Schizosaccharomyces pombe: one gene and its partners. The protein of the gene in region 4 interacts with the protein of the main gene of each other region in a pairwise test. Each region holds a gene or a part of one and is shown on either strand. Other genes may lie near its edges.

Evidence for each region.
Region 1: the proteins of cbh2 (region 4) and SPOM_SPBC1685.04 interact in a two-hybrid assay, tested with the Schizosaccharomyces pombe proteins (one large-scale study listed by BioGRID).
Region 2: the proteins of cbh2 (region 4) and sir2 interact in a two-hybrid assay, tested with the Schizosaccharomyces pombe proteins (one large-scale study listed by BioGRID).
Region 3: the proteins of cbh2 (region 4) and ypp1 interact in a two-hybrid assay, tested with the Schizosaccharomyces pombe proteins (one large-scale study listed by BioGRID).

The regions. Positions count from the first base shown.
Region 1 is NC_003423.3:500,401-505,493, forward strand, and holds SPOM_SPBC1685.04 (uncharacterized protein), read left to right. Parts: upstream 1-2,263; 5' UTR 2,264-2,472; coding exon 2,473-3,450; 3' UTR 3,451-3,793; downstream 3,794-5,093. Other genes in the region: vma9 (V-type ATPase V0 subunit e), read left to right, coding at 905-996, 1,285-1,335, 1,402-1,462.
Region 2 is NC_003423.3:3,608,063-3,614,129, forward strand, and holds sir2 (histone deacetylase, Sirtuin family, NAD-dependent Sir2), read right to left. Parts: upstream 3,625-6,067; 5' UTR 3,495-3,624; coding exon 3,311-3,494; exon of another isoform or gene 3,148-3,310; coding exon 3,085-3,147; exon of another isoform or gene 3,048-3,084; intron 3,044-3,047; coding exon 2,961-3,043; intron 2,831-2,960; coding exon 2,799-2,830; exon of another isoform or gene 2,714-2,798; coding exon 2,277-2,713; exon of another isoform or gene 2,213-2,276; coding exon 1,584-2,212; 3' UTR 1,155-1,583; downstream 1-1,154. Other genes in the region: plasma membrane ZIP zinc transmembrane transporter Zrt1, read left to right, coding at 1-1,054; heat shock protein Hsp104, read right to left, coding at 4,297-6,067. UniProt on the Schizosaccharomyces pombe protein: Involved in silencing within the mating-type region, at the telomeres, and according to PubMed:12867036 also within centromeric DNA regions.
Region 3 is NC_003424.3:4,540,695-4,547,446, reverse strand, and holds ypp1 (cargo transport protein Ypp1), read right to left. Parts: upstream 3,612-6,752; 5' UTR 3,374-3,611; coding exon 3,365-3,373; intron 3,326-3,364; coding exon 3,214-3,325; intron 3,158-3,213; coding exon 690-3,157; 3' UTR 501-689; downstream 1-500. Other genes in the region: vma2 (V-type ATPase V1 subunit B), read left to right, coding at 1-367; SPOM_SPAC637.03 (uncharacterized protein), read right to left, coding at 4,084-4,893. UniProt on the Schizosaccharomyces pombe protein: Involved in endocytosis.
Region 4 is NC_003423.3:4,179,264-4,184,611, reverse strand, and holds cbh2 (CENP-B protein 2), read left to right. Parts: upstream 1-2,173; 5' UTR 2,174-2,201; coding exon 2,202-3,746; 3' UTR 3,747-3,875; downstream 3,876-5,348. Other genes in the region: pho8 (alkaline phosphatase), read left to right, coding at 88-292, 427-1,820; sorting nexin Snx41, read left to right, coding at 4,124-4,411, 4,530-5,348. UniProt on the Schizosaccharomyces pombe protein: Binds to the central core and core-associated repeat regions of centromeric heterochromatin.

The DNA of each region.
Region 1 (5,093 bases), 3.7 Mb from region 4:
TGAATAGTTGGCGAAACTATGTTTAAGCTCTCATCAGCTTAGCATTAATAATTCTTTTACGTTAAATGTATGATTTCTCAATTTAATGTCATTTTTGATTTCATTAGGAAAAAATAGATGACATTTACTACTGGTGAAATTATTTATTTTTCAATTCTTTTTATTATTTTGCATTTTTGCAATGTAAAAATATTATAATATTACACAAAAGGATATAACTATGAAGCTACACAAAGCATTTTATGTTCATCGCTTCTACGGCGCAGGTAATCAGACGAATTTTAAAAGTGTAATTGGTGATTTAAAAAGTTTATGTTATGAAAAGAAAGTTAAGTACAATAAGAAAGCATTAAGCATGTGGATGTAATTATTGGATGTGTTAGTTTACTCTCTGCATAAGTGCTCGGTGGTTTTATAAACTAGTGAGAAGAATGATTTCCGAGTACTACTTGAAGTTAAGAAAATAATTAATACAATCTCTTTTGAAACTAACCAGTCCATAATAGTATTCAAAGAATCTGGAAAGTACAGAATTTTTGGGAGCCTGACACTGATGCGTTATAGTAAACACGGTAATGTAAATTTGTTAAATATTTAGTTTAACGTAATGGATTGAGGGTTACCATAAATAGAATTCATAAGAAAAAATGGAGGAAGGGTGTCTTTATGATGTCCGCTAGCATTAAAGAGCATTTTTTTATTCAAGGATCGTATTCATATAACTGGAAGGCTATGTTAAGCATTTTTTTAATGCCTTTGTATGATTATTGTTACCTGATTTATGTTTACGTTATCTATGCGTGGTGTCACTAATTTGCAGTATATGTTCATGTGAGACGCACATTCGATAATTTACCATTAACGTGCAAGTTACATTTATTGAAAGTAGGTAATTTGCATTCTAATGGGTGGTCTCGTTGTTTTACTTGTCGGCCTTTTGACGGCCTTAATGAGTGTAGTTTCTTACTATGTCTCGCCCAAGGGAAATAATACTAGGTAAGAAGTTTGCTACTGATTGGAGTGAATCATCTATATATCGAGGTATAGCAATTATGTTCCCATTTAAAGTCTTGTGTTATGATCAGTAGCTTGTTTTTACTTCGTTTCATTTTCGTTTAGAGATATGGAAAAGTATATGTGATTGTCTTTCTTGCAACCAATCAAGGTAGCGCTGTTTAGGCCTTGTCTTCAGCTGCACATGGACAATCTGGAATTGGGATCAGTTGCTTGTATTATATTTTCATACTCCTTCCTTTAACAAAAGTTTTATTAACTCTCAATTAGTACTTGGCAGATGTCATTAATTCTTACTTTTTCTTGTTGCTATTTATTATGGTTAGTGCATTTGTGGTGTTCTTATGCATCCATATTGTTTTTCTTTTTTACTAACATCGTTCTTAGGGCAATTACTTATTTAGCACAGTTGCATCCATTAGAGGCTCCATCTCGAGTTCTTGAGTAATGAAGTTTAGTATAATCATAGTGATTTTTAATGTTTGTACATTCTTCCTCTTTTATTTTACTTATCGTTTAGACTGCAAGCTTTCCAATTAGAATCTACTTTTGAACCTTTTCCTCTTCCTATTTTTTGATACTATTCGTTTCTGATCGTCGGGCTCAACTTTCTAGTCTCTAAAATCCTATTGGTGTTTGTCGATTATTATTACAAATCAAACACGTTTGAGTATTTCTTATTTTTATAATCCATATCTTTAAACGTTTCTTATTTTAATATATATATGGAGTCAGTTAAGTCATGGCTGGAACCTGGCGTTATTTAAAGGTCGGTTCACGTGGATTTCAACATTGCATTTAATCTTTGCGAAAGGATATACCTTCATTATTTCTTTTCTTTGATTTTACTAGATTTATTGGTCTCCCCGTCTTTTGGTTGTCGCTTTTTCTTTTACTCGGATGTGTGTATGAAAGGCGACGTATATTTACGTTATCAAAAGCCTTGCTACAAATATACTGAATCATATAGAAATACAATAAAAAATTGAAATAATAGACACAACAGGATATTCAAAAGTTTTTTTGGTGCCAAAAACTCTAAGATGTTGTAAGTTTAGTTTAATATTTGGACTGAAGTTCATGATAGTAGTGGCGCTCCTAATACGCAATTTTAGTTGACTAAAAAAAATATTTGAGATAGAGAAAGTCTGAATTGTTATTAAAGGTCTACTGGCTTCATAAACACAAGTTCGCGACTATTCAACATTGTTCCACTATAGCACATAGACATTTGCACACACTGATAGTTAAGAAATACATTTTACAGTGTGATTTTGAACGGATTGGTTTCTTGAAAAGATAGGAAGACTGAAAAAATAAAGATTCGTATATAAAAAAAGCGAAAAACTTACACTAGTGATGTTGAATGCGATATAATTTTCTGTTATGAAGAAAAAAGGGTTGAACTTACCAAATTTACGCATTTACTAGATTTTTCGTGTATTATACCTTTTTAAAATGAAACAAGAATATATTCCGCTAGACGAATTCCCAAACAAGTCTAATGAAGGGATGCTGAATGATGAAGGTACCTCTTCTTCTGGCTTATCGACAAGAACGCGTAGCTTAGAGCTTTTTGACAATATGGAAGAAAGTGGCTCCTTTCCAAAAGTGGAAAGGAAAATACAATCGCTTTTGGATGAGCTGGCTGAAGTGTTGTTTCAATCTAAACAGCCCAACGACTTGACCAGGATTCGAAAAGCCATCGCTGAGCAGTTGCAGTTATGGTGTCAAGCTTGTCAAGAAAACGCTGATTTATATAGGAGCCAGCAAAGGAAATTGAAGAGCCGTTGGGACTCGCAGACAGACATTTTATCCCAAATTGAATCGACCAAAGCAAGTCTGGCAGAGGTGCACAAAGCGGAAGAAATATCGAATCTAAAGACAAGCATTACACATTTAGATGAGGAAATTCAAATTTTGCAGGAAAAGTTGGCGATTGTAACGAACCAACGAAACACCCTTGTAAAACGACTCCAGACTTATGATAATCTAGAAAAGAAAAAGGCACTCAGTATGGAAGATCGCCTTTTAACTCTGCAGGAGCAGTATGATGCACATGCTAATGTATCTTCCCTTGAAAAACGGATGGAAGTATTGAAGAAAAGAGAAGATCTTTTGCGACTAATGGTCGGGCAAGCACTTCCAGGAATGCAATTCTTCCAACGTTTGATCCATCAAATCCAAGCTGTCGAAACAAAACTAATCTCAATACTGGGGCCTACTTCTTTATCAGAAGCTGCTTTGCCTCCATTAACTGACGTTCAGCGCACTAGTGTATTATCACTCTTGACCTCGACTCTTCACTCTTTGGAGTCGGCGAGACAGATTGCTGACTCCAATACATGGAAGCCAATCATTGTTTGTTTAGAGCTCGAAATTGTATATTTTGAGAATATGCTTACTGCGATAACCTCGACTCCCGTTTCTTCCTAATAATTTAATTTTCATTCCGTATACTATCAATACAACCTTCTAATATTAAAATATGGTCATTCAATGGCACAATGCATTCCTTGGCGTGTTGACCGACAGCCTTACTACTTTTACCCTGCACGGCTTCAAGATACCTGTTAATTGTGGAGAAATATATATTTCATACATGATTTTACCTCCAGATTTTCAGCCTCATCTAGCACCACATCGTTAAAATCGTATATAATATTTATTTCAGCTGTATTTTCGGCATGATATTTATTTAATAACACCAACTTTGATCATCTTTGATTTGTCTTCTCAAACTCTCTTCTACACAACAAATGACAAAATGTTAAAGTAATGCGAGTCGAGTTCATTAGTGATTCAATTCAAATATGCTATTGAATGCCTATTTCCATACTTAAACTGTCAATCTCCTACCCAAATCAAACACTGTCATAATAAACATCCCTGAATCTAAAGCTACCTTAATAATCTTTGTTTTGTCTTGTTCAACCATCAACCTACTACAAACGAAACAGTTTTCAAAAAGTAACACCATTTTAGTTTTCAAACAATTCTACGCTAATACCACGTACATTCACTTTCGGTTCACATAACCGATTCTGTCAAACATCCTCAGAATGTCGTTTTCCATTTCGAACCCATTCTTTCAGTTTTCCATTTCCATTCAATACGACACAGTCGTATGAAGATGGATTCTAGCTTATTTGCAAAATGTCACGGAACCAAGAAATCCGATTTTGAACAAACGACATTGCGGCTCCTTGTTCGTCGCAATCCTCCGTTTGAGTGAAATTCATCGAAATCACTTCTAAAGCTACGCTGTCTTATTTTTGCCGCACTCGGACTTTGACATCACTCTTAAAAATCATCGAGCAATAGAATTGTTGATCAAACGGCTTGCCACGCACTTTGTCTGCTGGTGGTATGAGACGCTAGTGAAGTTAACTATTACAGCAAACATCGTTCACCTACATATATATTGAATTGAAAGCCCGCGTTGCCGATGGGCAAAACGAATGAAACAAGAATCTTCCAATAGCGAAATTTAGACATCATATCGCAAATATTACTTTTAACTGCGTAGTTTAAAATTCAGGATCGAGCTTATCTGCAAAAGAAAAGAAAGGGAGATCATTGTTCTACGCTTATTATCATAGCATTCCCCGATTGCTACTGACCTTATCAAAACTATTCTTGCAAATCCCATTCTCTTTTCGCTTCGTTTTTGTCCATACAGTGGAGTTTGGGAATTTTTAAAATCTTTTCGTTTTTTTTACGGCTTACAAGATTTAAAATTTCTCATTCATACACTTGATTACTTATTTTATTGTTTCGTTTTTGTGTGTGTATTTTGTTTCTACTTGTCGTTACTCCTGTCATTTTCGTTTGATTAATTAAAAAAAAAGATATAAAGGCTAATCTTTTCTTATCTCTGAATTGGAAAGGATTTCTGCAAACTATTCAAGCCACCGTCTGCAATTATTATCGTTATCTTGCCATTGGTGTGTCAGTAAAGTGAAGCAGATTGTCAAAATATTTGATTTACTAAATATATTATAACTGTTTCAGGTAAATTATCTTATTGCTTGAGTAGTCAAATTAAGGATACTGAGATTTCTATATAGGAATTCCTT
Region 2 (6,067 bases), 570 kb from region 4:
TCATCTGGGATATCGTATTGGTGCCATCTTTGTTATCTTGGCTACTTCATTAATTGGCATGAACTTACCTTTGGTCCTTTCTAAAATCACCAAAAACAGACCCAACGTTTATATTGAATATCTCTATCTATTCGCTCGTTATTTTGGTTCTGGTGTTATTTTGGCTACTGCTTTTATTCACTTGTTAGCCCCTGCTTGTAACAAGCTTTACGATCCTTGTCTTGACGACCTTTTCGGAGGTTACGATTGGGCTCCAGGTATTTGTCTTATTTCTTGTTGGTTTATTCTCTTGTTGGAGGTCCTTTTGAATCGCTATGTGGAATGGCGGTTCGGTATGGAAATCGGCGATCATCATGGTCCAACTCTTGGTGCCAAACAACACAGTCATAGTCACGAAGACGGTGCTCACGGTGTTCATGAACATCCAGTTTATGATATTGAAGAATGTGCCGATGGTGTTGAGCATGAATGTGTAAAGGATGACTTGGAAGAAGTAAAACTAGAACCTTATACGAATACTGATAGTACCGATTTGACTACTAAAGAAGAAGCTCGTAGTTTCTTACTAAAGCAACAACTTACTGCCTTTATAATTCTTGAATCTAGTATCATTTTGCATAGTGTTATTATCGGTCTTACAACTGCCGTCTCAGGTGAAGAATTTAAAACTTTATTTCCCGTCATTATTTTCCATCAGGCCTTTGAAGGTTGTGGTTTAGGTTCTCGTTTGGCGGGAATGGCCTGGGGCCCAAAAACTGCATGGGTACCTTGGGTGTTGGGCGTTATCTATTCGTTGGTTACGCCTATTGGTATGGCAGCTGGTTTAGGTGTTCGTGAGCATTGGGATCCTCTTGCTCATGGGTCTTATGCTGCCCAAGGTGTTTTGGATGCTATCTCATCTGGAATTTTGGTTTATGCTGGTTTAGTGGAATTACTTGCACACGATTTCTTATTTAGTCCTGAAAGAGAACGTAACTGGTATAAGCTTATTTACCTTTTGGCATGCTCGATGGCTGGTACTGGAGTTATGGCTTTGTTAGGTAAATGGGCTTGATTTGGTGGCTTTTTCGATGATCCGTGCATTTTATATTCTTCATTAAATCTGTTTTCTTCTTTTGAGTTTGAGTGTCAATATCGTTGACCAATTTCTAATTGTCCGTTTTCAGTTGTTTCTCTTTAGTATCGTACAATTAGATGCTTCATTGGTTGTATTGATATGTACCAATCAATCTTTCAATTTTAAATAATAATTGTGTCATTTTCACTGATTTACTATGCTTAAAAAAGTAGCTAATTTTGCATAGCCTATGAATGTAATTTGCTTCAATGTTCATTTACTAATTACACAGTCCTTGGTATTGTAAAATGTATTATAACTTGTTTTAATGTGTTTTCACCCAGTTTAGCAGATTTAAACATTAGGTGCGAAGAGAAAAAACAGTTTTTAACAATGGCACTTACAAAACTAAGAAGTCTCAAACGGATAATAAGTTAATGTCCAATAATCTGGCTCTCATACTCGATATATGTATATAATATATTTGCTTCTACATTCAACTTCGATAGATCGATCAGTCCTAAAATTAACAACTACCGTTTGTTGTGCTCGTGATATGATAGGTGCTGGGCTCCTCAAATTTTATATCCAAATCCGTTTCGAAAGCTCGCGTTTTGGAACCACTATGACACTCAGGTAAATCGCAAAGCGCTTGTAATTCATTCAGCCATCCAGCACGTTTACAAATCTCCACAATAACCCAATCACAATAAGGACTTAGAAAATTTACATCGAATTGGGTATGACGAACAGGAGTCCTCGAAATGTAAATCTGAGGAGTAGTAGGAGGAATAACACTGATGAGTTCTGAAACAGGAGCCACTTTTAAAGAAGTTCCAATACAAATTAATAAATCAGTCTCTTCAAGCTCACCACTCCCGACTTTGTTAAAGAAAGAATCCGGTAAGGCTTCCCCAAAAAATGTGATATCAGGTTTCATAATCCCAGGTTGAGCTAGATCATCTTCAGAAGATTCACTATCACCATCTGAAAAATAATGTTTCTCTTTTTTATTTTGACCGACTCTTCTTAATTTTAAGGGTGGTTTTCCGCATTCATTGCAGTAAGAAACTCTTTGATTTCTTATGTCTTCATATAACTCCGATCCATCCACCTTGTGCTTGCATTTGATACAAGTTGCGGTAGCAAAAGACCCTATATAATCAAATTAGACAAAATCACCAGTGCTCGAGATGCAAATCGGAAAATAAATACTTACCATGACATTGAATAATTTTGTTATCGGAGAGTCCAGTCTTTTTTTCCAAATTGTCTATATTTTGGGTAAACAATGTTGATAATTTATTCTTCTTTTCAAGCAATCTAATGAAGGCATGCGAGGGGGAATAATGATTCGTCTCCGGCAAAAGATCTCTAGCAAAAGTATAAAAAATTTCTGGATTTTCTCTAAACGTATGGATATCAAACATTTCAGAAGGTTCCGATAATCCATGGCGTGCCAAACGGGCATAAAAACCATTGTCTGAACGGAAATCTAAAATTCCCAAACTTGTACTTATGCCTGCCCCAACAAGGACGACAACATTTTTAGCTTTTTTCAATAAATTAACAACATCTTCAAAGGTATTAAAATGTGGAAGTTTGATTCTCCTAGCAACCTCACGTTTTAAAACTTCCTTCAGCAAAGGAAGTAAACTAATTAGCACGTTAGTATATCGATAGCAGATATTTTAAAAAATAAAAGATAAAAAGATAAGAAGGAAGTTAAAGAAAAGCATACTCTATGTCTTCAAACTCTTCAAGTGCACTAGGCTATTTACGTTAATAAATCTAGGTAAAGTCATAAGAAAACAAAACATGCAGTAGACCAAATTATTATTGCAATTTAACAAAAATAATCTGCTAATTTAATGTAATGCAAGTTATAAATCAGTAAGCATACCAAATTGATTCCAAGTTTTTTTAAAATCGATCGTACAGGCAACTCTTCTTCTATTAAATATTTCTCCAAGAATTTCGCATAGCCTACAAATACTAGTTAAAATGTAAATTAAGTAACTCCTTACCTGAAGCCCTTAAATATCTGACCATTTCGGATCGTTCATCCAAATCACTTATGTTTTCTGTTTCTAAGGAATCGTTAACTTTTTAAATAATTAAAATAAACTAAAGTATATGAAAAGCACATAGCTAACCTGAACTCAAAATCGTTGATCAATTGTAAATTTTGTAAATTCAAATAGACTTGCGCGTACCCTTGAAGGTATTGGAGTTAATAGTTGATATTCATACCTGGTTTATCCCATTCATCAGAATCAACCTCTTCATCCTCAGTTTCTTTACTGCCGCACATAATATCTACTAGTAAACTAGCACCGGAACTACTACCAGAAGAGCTAGGAGAATAACTAGCGACTGGAATTTTTTCCTCAACGGGAGTCGTCGGCATATTATTATCTAGCGGATTGGAAGCCATGACAGAGTTTGTATAACATGAAAATATGACTAATCAATTATTTTTAAGGAAGTATAAATTAAAGCTTCGTTTGAGAAAGGCAATGATCTACTGAACTGAAGATCTCTGGTTCAACTTTTCGATAAGTCTTATTACAATTACGAAAAGCTAGTCTCTTGTTTAGTGCAGTAAAGTTTCGTTAGCTTAATGGTATGCGGGCAACTGTGATCTCGTTATTTCCTGGTAATAATGGCTATTAGAAGCAAAGCACTGTATAAGTTTAACTATACAACTTGTTAATTTAAACGTTGCTTTGAACCATGAGAACTGGAATGCGTATTAGTATGCAATGCGCAAGTGTAGAAAGTAATGAAATGATATGATAGTGATTTACCAAATGTTAAAGTTAATCATGTAAATTCAATTTAAAATCTACTAAAAGTATGAGAGCTAATTCTGCTTTGATTTTATAAGGAATTACGAGCACTTTCTTACAAGCTCGACTTTCTTGAATGGACTGCATTAATTAATACCTACTAAAATAAATGGAGGTTTTTCGTAAATAACAATGGATTATTTGATAAATTTAAGATTCAATGTTTCATCATACTTGAATTGCTAATAACTAAAAACGATGTACTTAGCTTTTGTTAAATTGATTCTATCTATTCGATAAAGTTCATTGAACATTTTAATGAGAAAACAGTACTTCCTAAAAAGTTTATATACTATATTTTTATAAATAAATAAAATATATTAAGATTAAGCATATCATTAAACTATATCATAAAGTATCGTTAGAACTTTCTCATTTGAAATACATTTATTCCAATTCTTCATCATTAACATCGTCGTCAATACCATCCATGTCAATATCAGCAGAGCCGTTTGCATTAGCTTCATGATTTGGTTTGACAAATATCTTGCCATTTTGGACTACGACATGAGCAGTCTCCTTATCGCGAAGCTGGCCATTCAAAATTAAGACAGCCATGGGATTCAAAACTTGATTTTGAATGACACGGTTCAAAGGTCTTGCACCATAAGCAGGGGAATAACCAGCGCTTCCAAGAAGGTCTTTAGCTTCGTCGCTAACCTCGATTTTAATTGAGCGATGATTGGATTGAAGCCGTTTCTGAACCTCTAATATACGATTTTCGACAATATTGCGGATATCCACACGACGCAGACGATTAAAGATAACGATTGAAGAGATACGATTCAAAAATTCGGGACGGAAGAAGCCACGAATCGAGTTCATAACCATTTCCCGAGTGGTACTATCTATCTTTCCATCATCAGACTCATTGTCTGTTGTCAAGTATTCAGCGCCCAAGTTAGAAGTCATAATGATAACAGCATTCTTGGCATCAACAACCTGGCCTTGGCCACTAGTGATACGTCCATCATCTAGTACCTGCAAAAGTACAGTCAATACTTCTGGAGCAGCCTTTTCAATCTCGTCAAACAAGATGACGGAGTAAGGTCGTCGACGAAGTTGTTCAGTAAGCTGTCCACCAGCTTCATGTCCAACATAACCGGGTGGTGCTCCAATGAGACGTGAAACAGAGTGTTTTTCCATGTATTCAGACATGTCAATACGAATCATTGCATTTTCATCATCAAACATAAATGATGCCAATGCCTTTGTCAATAAAGTCTTACCAGTACCGGAAGGACCGCAAAACAAGAAAGATGCGATTGGTTGATTAGGATCAGAAAGACCAGCACGAGATAAGCGAATGGCGTTTGCAACTGCAGTAACTGCTTCATTTTGACCAATTACTTGTTTACTGAGAACCTTCTCCATGTTAAGGAGTCGTTCCTTTTCAGTTGTCTTCAAACGAGTAACCGGAATACCAGTCCACCTTGCAACGATTTCGTTGATTTGATCGGGCCCAACTACGTCAATAAGTAAAGGTTCTGAGCCTGGTTGAGCGTTTGCAATCGCTTCTGCATCAGCCTTTCTTTTTTGTTGCTCTAAATATTCAATACGTTTTTGCAAATCAGGAATACCATAGTATTTCAAATCAGCAGCAAGAGTGAAATCATTACGACGCTCGGCATCCTCAGCCTTAGCCTTCAACTCATCAAGACGACGCTTAGCATCTTGAAGTTCACTTCCACGAGACTTTTCTAATTCATACTTCTCACGAATAGGTCTTGTTTCTTCTTCCACTTGTTCAGCCTCTTTACGAGCAGCCTTGAGACGTTCTTTGGAAGCTTCGTCCTTCTCACGCTCTAAAGCACGAATTTCAACGCGGAGTTGTCGAAGCTTTCTCTCAAGGTTATCAAGAACTTCGGGCTGAGATTCACGAGTAACACGAACTGCAGCCGCAGCTTCATCGACCAAGTCGATGGCAGAATCTGGAAGACGACGAGAAGTTAGGTACCGGGAAGCGAGATGGGCAGCAGTAACCAAGGCACGGTCAGAGATAGTAACACCATGATGAACCTCATACTTTTCTTTAAGACCACGAAGGATAGAAATCGTATCTTCAATAGAAGGCTCTTTTACCAAGATGATTTGGAATCTACGTTCGAAAGCAGCATCTTTTTCGATGTATTTCTTGTATTCAGCCAAAGTAGTAGCA
Region 3 (6,752 bases), on a different chromosome or scaffold from region 4:
TGCCATTGGTGAAGGAATGACTAGAAATGATCATGGTGATGTTTCTAACCAGCTGTATGCAATGTATGCCATCGGTCGTGATGCTGCTTCCATGAAATCAGTAGTTGGCGAGGAAGCCCTTTCTCAAGAAGATCGCCTTGCTCTTGAATTTTTGGGTAAATTTGAAAAGACTTTCATTAGTCAAGGTGCTTACGAGAATCGTACTATTTTTGAAACACTGGATTTGGCTTGGTCCCTCCTTCGCATCTTCCCTCGTGAGATGTTAACTCGTATTCCTAAGAAGATTTTGGATCAATATTATTCAAGATCCTCTGCCTATACTGAATCTTCCAAAGATGTTATAGACAACACTCCTGAAAGCTCTTAGTTTTTTGACGCTGCAAATACAGACCAAATAATCGCTAATTTTGAAATGTCCTTGAATCGTTATTTTCGGTGCAATTATCTAATGCTATTTGTTTGTTGGTGATTTGGAAAGAAGACTGTTATAGATACTGATTCAAGGTGCAATTGCTTCGTTATTAATTTAACACAATGTCATAAATAACATTTATCTATTTATGTCTATTATGTGAGTTCATATTGAAGTTACAATCACTACAAAGGAAACATATAAATTACTATTGAAAGTGCCTTAAAGTTTGTAAATTCAATTTATAAATAATAAAAGTCCAAAAAATGTAGACAGTTTAAACGTTCATAAACCTAGGCTGCAAGTTACTCCATCGGCGTACAGGGTTTGTATCAGCTAGCTGGATGCAATAATCATACGAAAACGCAGCTTGTTTTAAATCACCGAGTTGACGAAATATTTCTGCAGTATAATACCAAGCTTCTGGTAGATCCCAGCCATACTGCAAAGTACAGCTCGATAAAATAGCATCTGCTCTATTTCTACGAGAATGCATAGGCCCATAGCCACCTTGTAAAAGACACTTTGCAAGGGCCGTCGAAATTAAGGGATCCTCCGGGTCTAAATAATGAGCAACGTCAAGTTGCTCATACCCTTCAACTTCTTTTCCCTGTTGTAGTAAAGATAAACCATTTAAATAGTACACCCAAGCACATTCATGGTCTATTTTTTTAGCTTCTAGTAAAGCGCTTCGTGCTTGATCATCATTTCCACTTTTAAGGAAAAGAGATGCAGCGGTAAGCCAAAGCTTCTGATTGAGATATGATACGGTTTTACCACGACGTAACTGAAAATTTTCTTTATAGGAAGAGTGGGATTTTTTGCTTAAAACAGTAGATCTCTTAAGCGATGATTTCCTGGAAAACCCAAGAATACTTCCTTTTTCATTTTCCACATCTTTAGAGATTTTCTTGGATGATTTAATGGATTGAATAGTCGATCGTTCTAAAAGCGTTGATAATTCATCTGACGATCCTTCCTTTGATATCCTGTACTCATTCAAATCAAAAATACTAGCAAATAATGTAAATATTTCATCCTGGATATCCAGAGTAGCTTCTACGCCTTTTTCGGCTTCAAAAAGAGCTAGTTTCGTAATCAATAAATCGACCAAAGCGCAGCGGTCATTAAATGTCAAATTTGTCAAACTAATCTCAATAGTGCCATCTTCATTGACATGATTAATGCCCCAAGTTTCAAATACACTATCGATCAGCTTAATTCCTGCTGCGTATTGTTCAGAACAAGACACACACAAAACCAAAAGATGCCAAGATACAATACTGTACTTAGGGTTCACCTCAAGAAGTCGCCGAACAATTTGCATTGCATCAGTAATGGCACGTCTCTCCGAATATTGCATAGCCAAATGGAAAAGTGCATTTGTATTGGTTGGTTGCTTTTCTAGACATTTCTGGTAAGATTGGACGCTCTTCTGGTGATATCTTTCCCTTAACGAAGGGTTGTTAGCTTGATAATACATGAAAGAATAAGCAACTCCTTCTGTATGATAAATTAAAGGAGCAATATCGTCACGTTTCAGTAAATCATAATCAGAAGCAATTTTTGTAATATAATCAAGTATTTCAGAAACTTTTTTCAAATTACGAAGATATTGCGCATAAACGGTCATCATAACGGAGCATACTTCAATAATACTTTTCGGTTCATCAACAAACACTGGTTTGATATCAGAAAAAGAGCCAGCGACATCTGAATTTTTTCTTGCTAACCGTTCGTGAGATTTTACGCATAGAAACTTGTAAATTTCAAAAGCCTCGCTAGCTTCTTCAAATTCCTCAATATGCCTTAAAAAAAATACCAAAGAACGAAAAATTTGTTGTGCTTGGAAGCATTTTCCAGTAAGCTGATAAAGCATTCGAATCAAGCTGACAGTGATATCGTAAGATTTCTCTGTGTTTATCCATATTGATGTTGCAAGTTCAATAAATTCAACGGCGAACATGTTTTGATCACCAGCTTTAGGAAAAGAGGTAAAGTTACATAACAAAGACCCATAATCGAGGACAAGTTGAGGCCAATTTAAATAAAGATTTTTAACCGGACTTTTAGTAAAAATTTTTGATCCATTTGTATTAGTTCTTAAAATATGTTCCAAATATTTAATAGCTTGTCTGCTGGTAACTAGTTTATAAAGCAAATTCACGGACTTATGCTCGGTAAAATAGCTCAAGCATGTAGTAAGTATATTAGCTCTTTCTAATTGACTCGAACAAGCGCTTACAGACATTTGAGCATACAATGAATATGCAAGATCGCACCATCTTGTAAGTTCCGGTAAAGGCTTCTTGCCAATATTGGCATTTTGAATTAAGCCAATGGCCGAACGAACGTATTGATATGCAACTTCATCGTTAGCTTGAGCATATTGAGCTAGCGATGATAGCACTGTTGCTTGTAGGATGCATATACCAGTGGAAGTTTCAGTCCACGGAATTCCTTGAGGAGACCAATCTAAATCTACGGCTTCGGGAAATTTACGCTGTACAATGTATAATAACAAGCGTATGGATGTCTCCTGAAGCTTCTCATCTTCTGTGGCATTTTGAATGTTCAATGAGTTTAATTGACTTAGAAGAGGGTCGGTACGAGCACTGGGTAAAGCCGGAATTAGGGAATACTGATTATCTATTAATTTAGGCTCCAAAACGTTTGCAATATTTTTTAGTTCAGCAGTTAATGCTGATTTAAGAGAAGCTTCAATTTTTGCTAATTCACAAACGACTAAAAAAAGGTTAGTCTAGATGACAAGTGGAAAACTTTGACTGTAAATCACTCACAGGACTTTGAAGAGTTATGCTTATGCAATTTTCTAGCAACCTCAGGAATTGCCTGCCAATCTCCATTACATCTTGTTTGTTCTAGTTTTAGTTCATAGGTTTTTGCTTTAGCCTATATCAGTCAGTATGAAAACTCATAGTTTAGACGTACGGAAAACATGAATTTTTTTATAACTTGGTATTTGTATATATAAAGAGAAAAAAAAGGTCAAACGCAGTAGTTGGAACGTAAAATTCGTTTATAGAACTTTGAACGCAAACTTTAAATAAATTGATATATATTTACAGTAACAAGAAAAACGAAGGAATTGTAAAAAGAAAAGGTTTAAAGAAGGTATTTAACGCCTCAAGAATACCAAGATGAAGGAATTTTGATGGTTCGATATATGGAGTAGGCCAAGGTTGAATGGAGGTGCGTAACCGTCGGCATGAGAAAGTAATTGAGATATTGAGCTAAGTAAAGAAAAAGTAGTGTATACCAAGTTTTTTGCTTTAAGGGTTCTTTAATAAATACATGAAGCAAATAAGATTAAATAATTAGCGTACAAGTTAGCCAGAGTACGAATAGTTGAATATGATGACACTTTCGTGATCCATATAAGAATAAGCTGGATGTCTTCGTCAATGAAGTGCTTGTAAAGTTAGCACACGAAGCAACTTTATACTAAGAAGGGTGCTATTAACCATGATGAAGTTGATCGTCAAAACTATGCTTTAATCTGCTATCCACCTGAATTTTGAGTCGAAAGATTTATGGGAGAAAAATTAAATTTTTATACTAAAGTTAAGTGTAACATAATACAATTAAGCAAATTCATTATCATACTATTTAGTAGAACGGAGCAACAACATGCAGAAGACTACAAGAGTTTAAACTGCGGGTCCCGCGTTGTTGTCCTGAAGCAAAGGAGCACTCTCGCCTGTTAAAGCAGCGCGTCTCTGTCTGTAGGGAAGGAGGAAGAGAAGAGCAGCGAAAAGGGTCATGAGACCAGCAATGATAAAGGCGAAAATGTGTTGCAAGGCAAAGAGGTGAATAAACATTTGTCCAATACCGATTGAAAGGAAAAGGTATGCGCTGACGAGGGAAAGAGCCCAGTCATGGAATCCTAAAATAGGAACAAGATACATGGCGGCAAAGAACCAGATAAACACATTAGAAAAGACGCGGCAACCAATGCCGGTGCAGTGTAAAGCGGCAGAGAAGGCATAAACAACGAACCAAAGAGACTTGCCAAAAACAAGTTTCGAGGGCAACTTCATGCTAATCATCTCAACAAAACCATTTCTCAAGCGAAGCGATTGGCCGTACATGGTGAAAGAAGATGAGAATAGACACAAGGAAAAGAATGCAGTCCAGTACAGCTTCTCACGGGTAAATGCCCAGACGGTAAACACGACAAATACATTGTACCAGATAGATGTGTGAATAATGGAGAAGGTAAAATCGTTTACCTGATCACCAAGCATTAAAAGGGGCACAATCATCAAAAGGAAAGACAAGTATTCGACCAAGAGGTAGCCACCAAGCATGAACTTGTTGGCGAAAAATGGAGTGGCATGGTGATTGTAAACCCATTCAAGAGATGGTTTGGTAAACAAATGAGCCAAAAGGGTAGCAAAGCTTACACCCAAGGCTAAGACGAGCCCAATAATGTATTTTGACTCACGAGTAATTTGCATATTGAACAATTAAGTAGTAGGCGAAAGAATAAGAAGAAACTAGCGGTAATATTAATAGTACGAATTGGAAGAAGAAGAAAAAATTAAATTACAGGTCTTCTTTCCCGGAGATAGTAAAAGTAGCGAAGCGGCAATTTTCAACCACTTTTGGAATTTGGTTTGTTTGTGTTTTTTTAGATATTAACTAGGTTCCGGCAATACGCAAGGAATTGACGATAAACTAAGCAACAGCCTATGAAAGTCAAACTTTTTAAATTGAATAAAATCGTTGGTAAATACGACTTAAAAAAATTGAATTCTTCTGCAACAATTCCTCGTAACAAACAGTAGCAAAATCCTAAGCTTTTCTTTAAAAGCTAAACCAAGTGTTTGAAGTGGATTAAAAGTAAATTGTGTTAGAAAGCAACGTTATACGCAAACTTGCAAATATGTATGGGAGAGGGAAGGTCATAAAAGTGCGAGAGATTTAATATATATAGGCAGACTATTTAAATTTAGCAGACTGCAGAAACTGCCCAACCCATGCCTCCTTCCATCATCATATTCCTTCGTAATGCTTACGCAACGATGCCTTGGCATCAGCTGAAACCATGTATCATGGAGTAACATGTTACGTATATCGATGGGAATGTCAATAAGGCGTAAAATGAAAATTCCAAAGGCGCTGATTTCAAAGAAATTACCATTTGCTCGCGCTGAGAAATTATTTATGAGCTTTTTATAAAATCAACTGTTTTGGAAGATACAAATTTATGCGATGCCTTTTAACCCGGTTTTCAAAGCCGAATTGAAGCGACCACAAAGGCCATAAGAATGTTGCGAATTGAAAGTATTTAGGAATTGGTAGACATACATTGGAGAGTGTTCTAGTTTATCAATCGCATTTCTTTTTTGTAAAGCATTTATTATTGGAGTCCAACTAAACCGTTTGCTTAAAATAGCTTGGCTTGGTATGGCATAGCAAGGCAAATTAATGACAATCGCAATTCAGTTCGATACAGGGCATTGAAGATAGAAGCAAAAAAAACACAATTCTTGAAAGTTTTGGATGAGTATCCGTTCATCCAAATGATAGACTTTCTCGGGTTGTTGGATGAGGATCTCCTTTAGCCGTGGATTGTTCTGTATCTTTTCCGTATAAGAAAACCACAAGTGACACATTTAAAGGGTAAACTTAGAGTCTTCGATATATTTTTCTGACTGAAGAAATGCTAGAATTCATCTATAAGAATTCGACTTTTTTCTGTCAGACACCAACGTTGCAATGATCATATCAAATGCAGACCACCCGTTAGATATTATAGGAATAAACCTGCCCGTGTATTATTAGCCGAACAGTTAAACTGCTTGATTGCTTACTTATCGAATTTTTCATCTAACTTATATTCTGATTCATTTATATTAAATTTTATTAACGCTGATTTATTTATTTCTTTCAGCACACTCCTTTGAGCAAAATAATGAACTTCAAAAAAAATCAGACTTAGGCAATATGTTTTCCCGAATTGCCGCTGTCAAATATTATAGAAGTCCTCGCTCTTACACTACTTACATTGTCATGATTTTAAAATTGTATTCTAATTTTTCCTCTTCTTCCTGTGATACTTACCCTATTATGTTGCGCTTGTCTAAATATATGTAAGCGAAAACCCCATCTTATCTTCTCAATTAAACAAATTTCGTGTTAAAGGTTGTGCTTTTACGGACACGATTAATTATTTTCATTACAAACAGTTTTCAAATTCTGCATTGACTGGGAAACTGGTTTTTATTGTTTTTTCTATGTTTACCGAGCAGCACATTCCGACACCCTCGTTCGAAATCTCCTAAAAGCAATGGGGAACTCGTTCAACGATCCA
Region 4 (5,348 bases):
AACAAGTCATACGCGTTGAAACGATCTTTACCCTTTGACATCCCTTCTTTTAGAGATATTCAATTTTTACCGTTTAAATAGTTTTCAATGGCATCTGAGCGCGATCCTCTTCTGCCAGTGCATGGCGAGGGTCCGGAGAGCCCTTCTCGTAGAAATTGGAAAACTTGGATAAAACATGGAATTCTGTTAATCCTTGTTTTATCAACCGTTATATTTTTTTATTTTTTCTCGTCTCATAAGTCCAAAGGGACCAATGAGAAACCAAAATTTGTTATTATGATGGTTTCTGACGGTAAGTGATTGGAGTAAGCTCTCTCATAAATCCGTTGCTCTTTTGAAGGAAAATGATTTTTTTTATATTTAGAGCACTGGGACGGAATCTTCCTTTTTTTTACAATATTTCTCGGTGACTGACTTTTTTTAAAGGAATGGGACCTGGCTCTTTGTCTATGACTAGATCGTTTGTAGAGACTCTAAACGATAAAGAGGGTTATAGGCTTCCCTTGGATGAGCATTTAATTGGCAGTTCACGGACACGTTCCAGTTCGAGTTTGATTACGGATAGTGCAGCCGGAGCAACCGCATTTTCTTGTGCTAATAAAACCTACAACGGAGCTGTTGGTGTTTTGGATAATGAAAAACCTTGTGGAACTATCTTAGAGGCTGCTAAAGAAGCCGGTTACTTAACCGGAATTGTTGTCACAAGCAGAGTTACCGACGCTACACCTGCCTCTTTCTCTGCTCATGCCGCGAATCGATTCATGCAAGATTTAATTGCTGAGTACCAAGTCGGGATGGGACCTTTGGGAAGGAGTGTTGACTTATTGTTCGGTGGTGGACTTTGTTCATTCTTACCTAAATCTACTTATCGATCATGTAGATCCGATAACTTGGATCTTTTGAAATATGCTAGGAAAAAAGAAGGTTTCCAAATTTTGCTTAATAGAACTGACTTTGATGAGCTATCAAACGCTCAATTGCCTTTGCTTGGTTTGTTTTCTGATTATCATCTCAGTTATGATATTGATTATCAGCCTGAAGTGCAACCTAAGCTTTCTGAAATGGTAGAGACGGCTTTGGATGTTTTGCTCAACGCCACTAATGAAGATACATCTAAAGGATTTTTTTTGCTCATAGAAGGGAGTAGAATTGACATGGCCTCTCACAACAATGACCCTATCGCTCATGTTTACGAAGTTATGGAATACAACAGGGCCTTTGAAATAGCAAGTGCATTTGTAGAAAAGAATGGAGGATCTTTAATCTCTACATCGGATCATGAAACTGGTGGTTTGACTGTTGGTCGCCAGGTCTCCAAAAAATATCCAGAGTATTTATGGAAGCCGCAAGTCCTATCTCTTGCTCTCCATTCTATTGAATATCTCGCTTCAGCTATCGTGAACCATAACCAAAATACGTTGCTTCCTTATATTGAACAGTTTGTTTTACCCGCAATTGGCATTCCTGACCCTAATCCAAAGCAGATTCATGACATATACGTGGCCCGGCATAATATATTTAATCTTATAAACGTGCTTAGTGATATTGTTAGTGTAGAAGCACAAATTGGCTGGACCACTCACGGCCATACTGCTGTCGATGTAAACGTTTATGGAGTAGGAGAGGTCACTGAACATCTTCGAGGAAATATGGAGAACATTGAAATTGGACAGTTTATGGAGATATACTTAAATGTTTCACTAAGCGATGTAACTGAAAAGCTCAAAGATGCTCCCATACATGGTGCCCCAGATCGACCTAGTTTAGTGGAAACTTCATTTTCCGATCGTCTTGTAGGTTTCGGTGCTGATTTGTTTTAAAGCCTTTTAATCAAGATTGCCATAAATATATAATTTAGAATACTCTCATATATGCTCAGCTTATTTAAATCGCTTAATTATGGCATTCAAATTCTTTTTAAGTTAAACCTATTTTACTTCTTATCTTTTACTTTATTTAATTTCCACTGTGGTTGAGATATCCAACAATTGCGATTTAAGAGCAAACGAATATTACAATTATACATACAACTTGTCGCAATAAAGATAGTTAACATATCCATAACGAAAATATTATAATAATATTATAATAACAAACACGTTAATATATCAAATATCACAAACATATCGGGATATCATCCATATCATCCACGACAGCCGCGATTACCTCCCTTACAACGATTTTTTCGTAAACTTGAGAGAATGCCTCCATTGAGGCGTCAAGCGTTGACTTTAGCTGAAAAAAAAGCAATTAGAAAACATTATTTTGAGTCAGCAACTAAACCTTCGCAACAAGAGCTTATTAGTTGGTTCGAGGAGCACTTTCATAAAAAGCTAGCACAATCTACCGTTTCGTCAATTCTATCATCAAAGAACGAATTTTTAGATAATCTAGACGCAGAAAACTCTCAAATAAGAAGAAACCGCCAAGGAAAATATCCTATCTTAGAAAACGCCCTTATTGACTGGCAAACGAGGTTGCAAAAACAAGACGGAGCAATTACTGGAAACGCCATCAAAAAAAGCGCCGCAGAATTGTGGAGACGTATACCGGAGTACTCTGAGCTTCCGATTCCAGAATTTAGTAACGGTTGGTTAGAGAAGTTCAAAAAGCGTTGTTTAAAACACGGCCTTAAGTTACAGGGTGAATCTACTTCAGTAAATCAAGGAACGTATGAGGAAAACATGGTTCAAATACAGGAATTAATAAGTCTTTTTGATCCAAAAGACATCTTTAATATGGATGAGACGGGGCTATGCTGGAAACTTATTCCCAATCAATCTCCTGCGAGTGAACGAGTAAAAGGAATTACGAGAGATAAGGCTCGTGTCACCGTCACTATTTGTTGTAATGCTACAGGTTCTGAAAAGGCCCCTCTTTGGGTGATTGGATATGCTAAAAGTCCAAGGGCCTTTCGGCAAGCAAATGCTCATCCTGATTCCATGGATTTTCATTGGCGATATAATGGAACCGCTAGGATGACCACTTCCATTATGGAAGAATGGCTTCGTTGGTTTGACGATTTGATGAAGGGTAGGAAAGTTCTACTTATACTGGATAAGTTTGTCGCTCATGAATGCGCTTTGGAAAATATTCGCAATTCCGAGCGAAAGTTGGTAAACACGACTGTTGTTTTCCTTCCTGTAAATTCTACAGAAATTTACCATCCTTGTGGCCAAGAGATAGTCTACGCTTTTAAATCATACTACAGAAAATACTGGCTTAATTACATGCTTGAGGAGATTCGATTGGGAAAGAACCCCAGTAAGACAATGAATGTACTAAAAGCAGTTAGATGGATGATTCGTTCTTGGAACGTTGACTTTGAACCATCTATAATATACAATTGTTTCCTTCGTTCTGGGCTTTTTCAAAATCAGCAACCACTGACCGGTCCTTCTCCAGAAACCATTAGAATCGCGGTGAATTTGCAAGAATTGATAGGAAAATACCTTGGTGATAAGGATATTTTCCAAATCGAAAATTTTATTAACCCTATTGAAGAAAATTCTGCTGACACTAATGACGATATCGTTAACCAAGTTGCTGCTCAATTTCTTGATGAACGAGAGTTTGAAACCGATGAAGAAGAGGAAGAGTCACAGTATTTGTTATCAACAAAGGATGCGATAAATGCCATCAATACTTTACTAAACTTTCAAGAGCAATCGGAAGATGGAAATGTTTTGTTTACTCGAACATTACTTCAGTTTCAAAAGGTTTTAGAAAGCAGATCGATTGTGTAAAGGTTGTGGGAATTGGAAAATTTGTTTCTAACGAAAATGTACACATTTTCTATACTTTTAAATAATTTTTATAGAATATAAGAAAGATAAATAATTACAGTGAATTCTTAAAGGTTAACTACTAGACGTACTATTTCAATTAATGTGAGATTCGCGCTAAAAGCGTTTATAAACTCAATAAGATATATTGATAAAATAATAAAGTGAAGAATCAATTGTTTAAATTACGAAATTGAATTGGGACAAATTTTTTGTTTTGCGAAAAATAAGCATAGCGCAATGCATTAATCAACACAGTATGACTGTCTGTACTTGTCAACTCCAAACGCCATTATTCAGCATTGCAATTGAAATTGGACGTTGTGAGAAACAATTGAATGGATTTTTTTGAAGATAATAATCCATTCTCTGGCTCTGACAACAGAAGCGCCTCTTCTGCTGTCAATGTAGAGCCAAAAGTTGAGCCATCACAGCACCAGGGCTCTTCATCTGTCAAAGAGAATGCGATTAGCCAACCGAATGAGAGTTTTCAAAGTAGAAACATGTTTTTTCAAAAGGACGTAGATAGTGTTGTTGATTCAGCCCTCGATCCAAACGGAATTGTAATTACTGGAGCTATGAAGGCTGAGAGTGGATCACACATAGTATATATAATCAAACTTCAAGTAAGTTAAGGAAATTGGTTGATAATGTATTAAGTCGAACTATTCATTGTAGAATCCTTGCTTCATTCTTCTCTTTTGTTTGGAAGTATTGAAATGTTTGATTACTAACGGTTTTTAGGACTCAGAAATACACCATCGATATTCAGAATTTGCTTCTTTGCGCGTACAACTTAGCCGCCTGTATCCTACTTGCTTGGTTCCTCCATTACCTGATAAACATAAAATCATGGATTACTTGATAAACGTCACCAAAAACCAACGAATGTCTCGTATGCTCGAAGAAAGAAAGAGATTATTACAATTATTTTTGAGAAGGGTAGCACAACACCCTATTCTGGGCCTTTCAGAAGTTTTTCGAAAATTTCTTAGTCGACATGTATCTTGGAAGGAAGTATTGCATAGTCCTCCTATTAGTTGTCTCCCAAAGGATTTATTGAAAGCCCCACCAGCTGATCCTTCTTCTAAAGAGAATGCTGAGTTATACAAGGAGCTGCCTATTCCCTCTAAAACCCTTGTACCTCGTGACAATTATGACGATGTTGGGAAAAATTTTCTTATGCTTGAAGATACGCTACAGCAGTATTCAATAGTAGCACAAGAGGAATCCAATTTATTTAATCAAATTGTTTTATCAAACTCTAAGTATTGCCTCGCACACTCTACTTTGGGGGCAATGTTTAACGCTCTTTCGTTATCCGAGTCGGGAAAGCTTTTGACAGCACTGGAAAAGGTTGGACAAGCAAATGATCACACATGTCTTGCTAGTATTGACTTTATGCACAACTTTGTAATCGCGGTAATAGAACCGCTTCAGGAGCTTTCAAAAGACGCCAAAAATATGCGTCACATTTTTATCTTTAGAAAGATGAAGTTTATTCAACAGGTAATGGTCGAAGAGCTTCTCACAAGAAAAAAGAGCTTTCTTCATCTTTTGGAG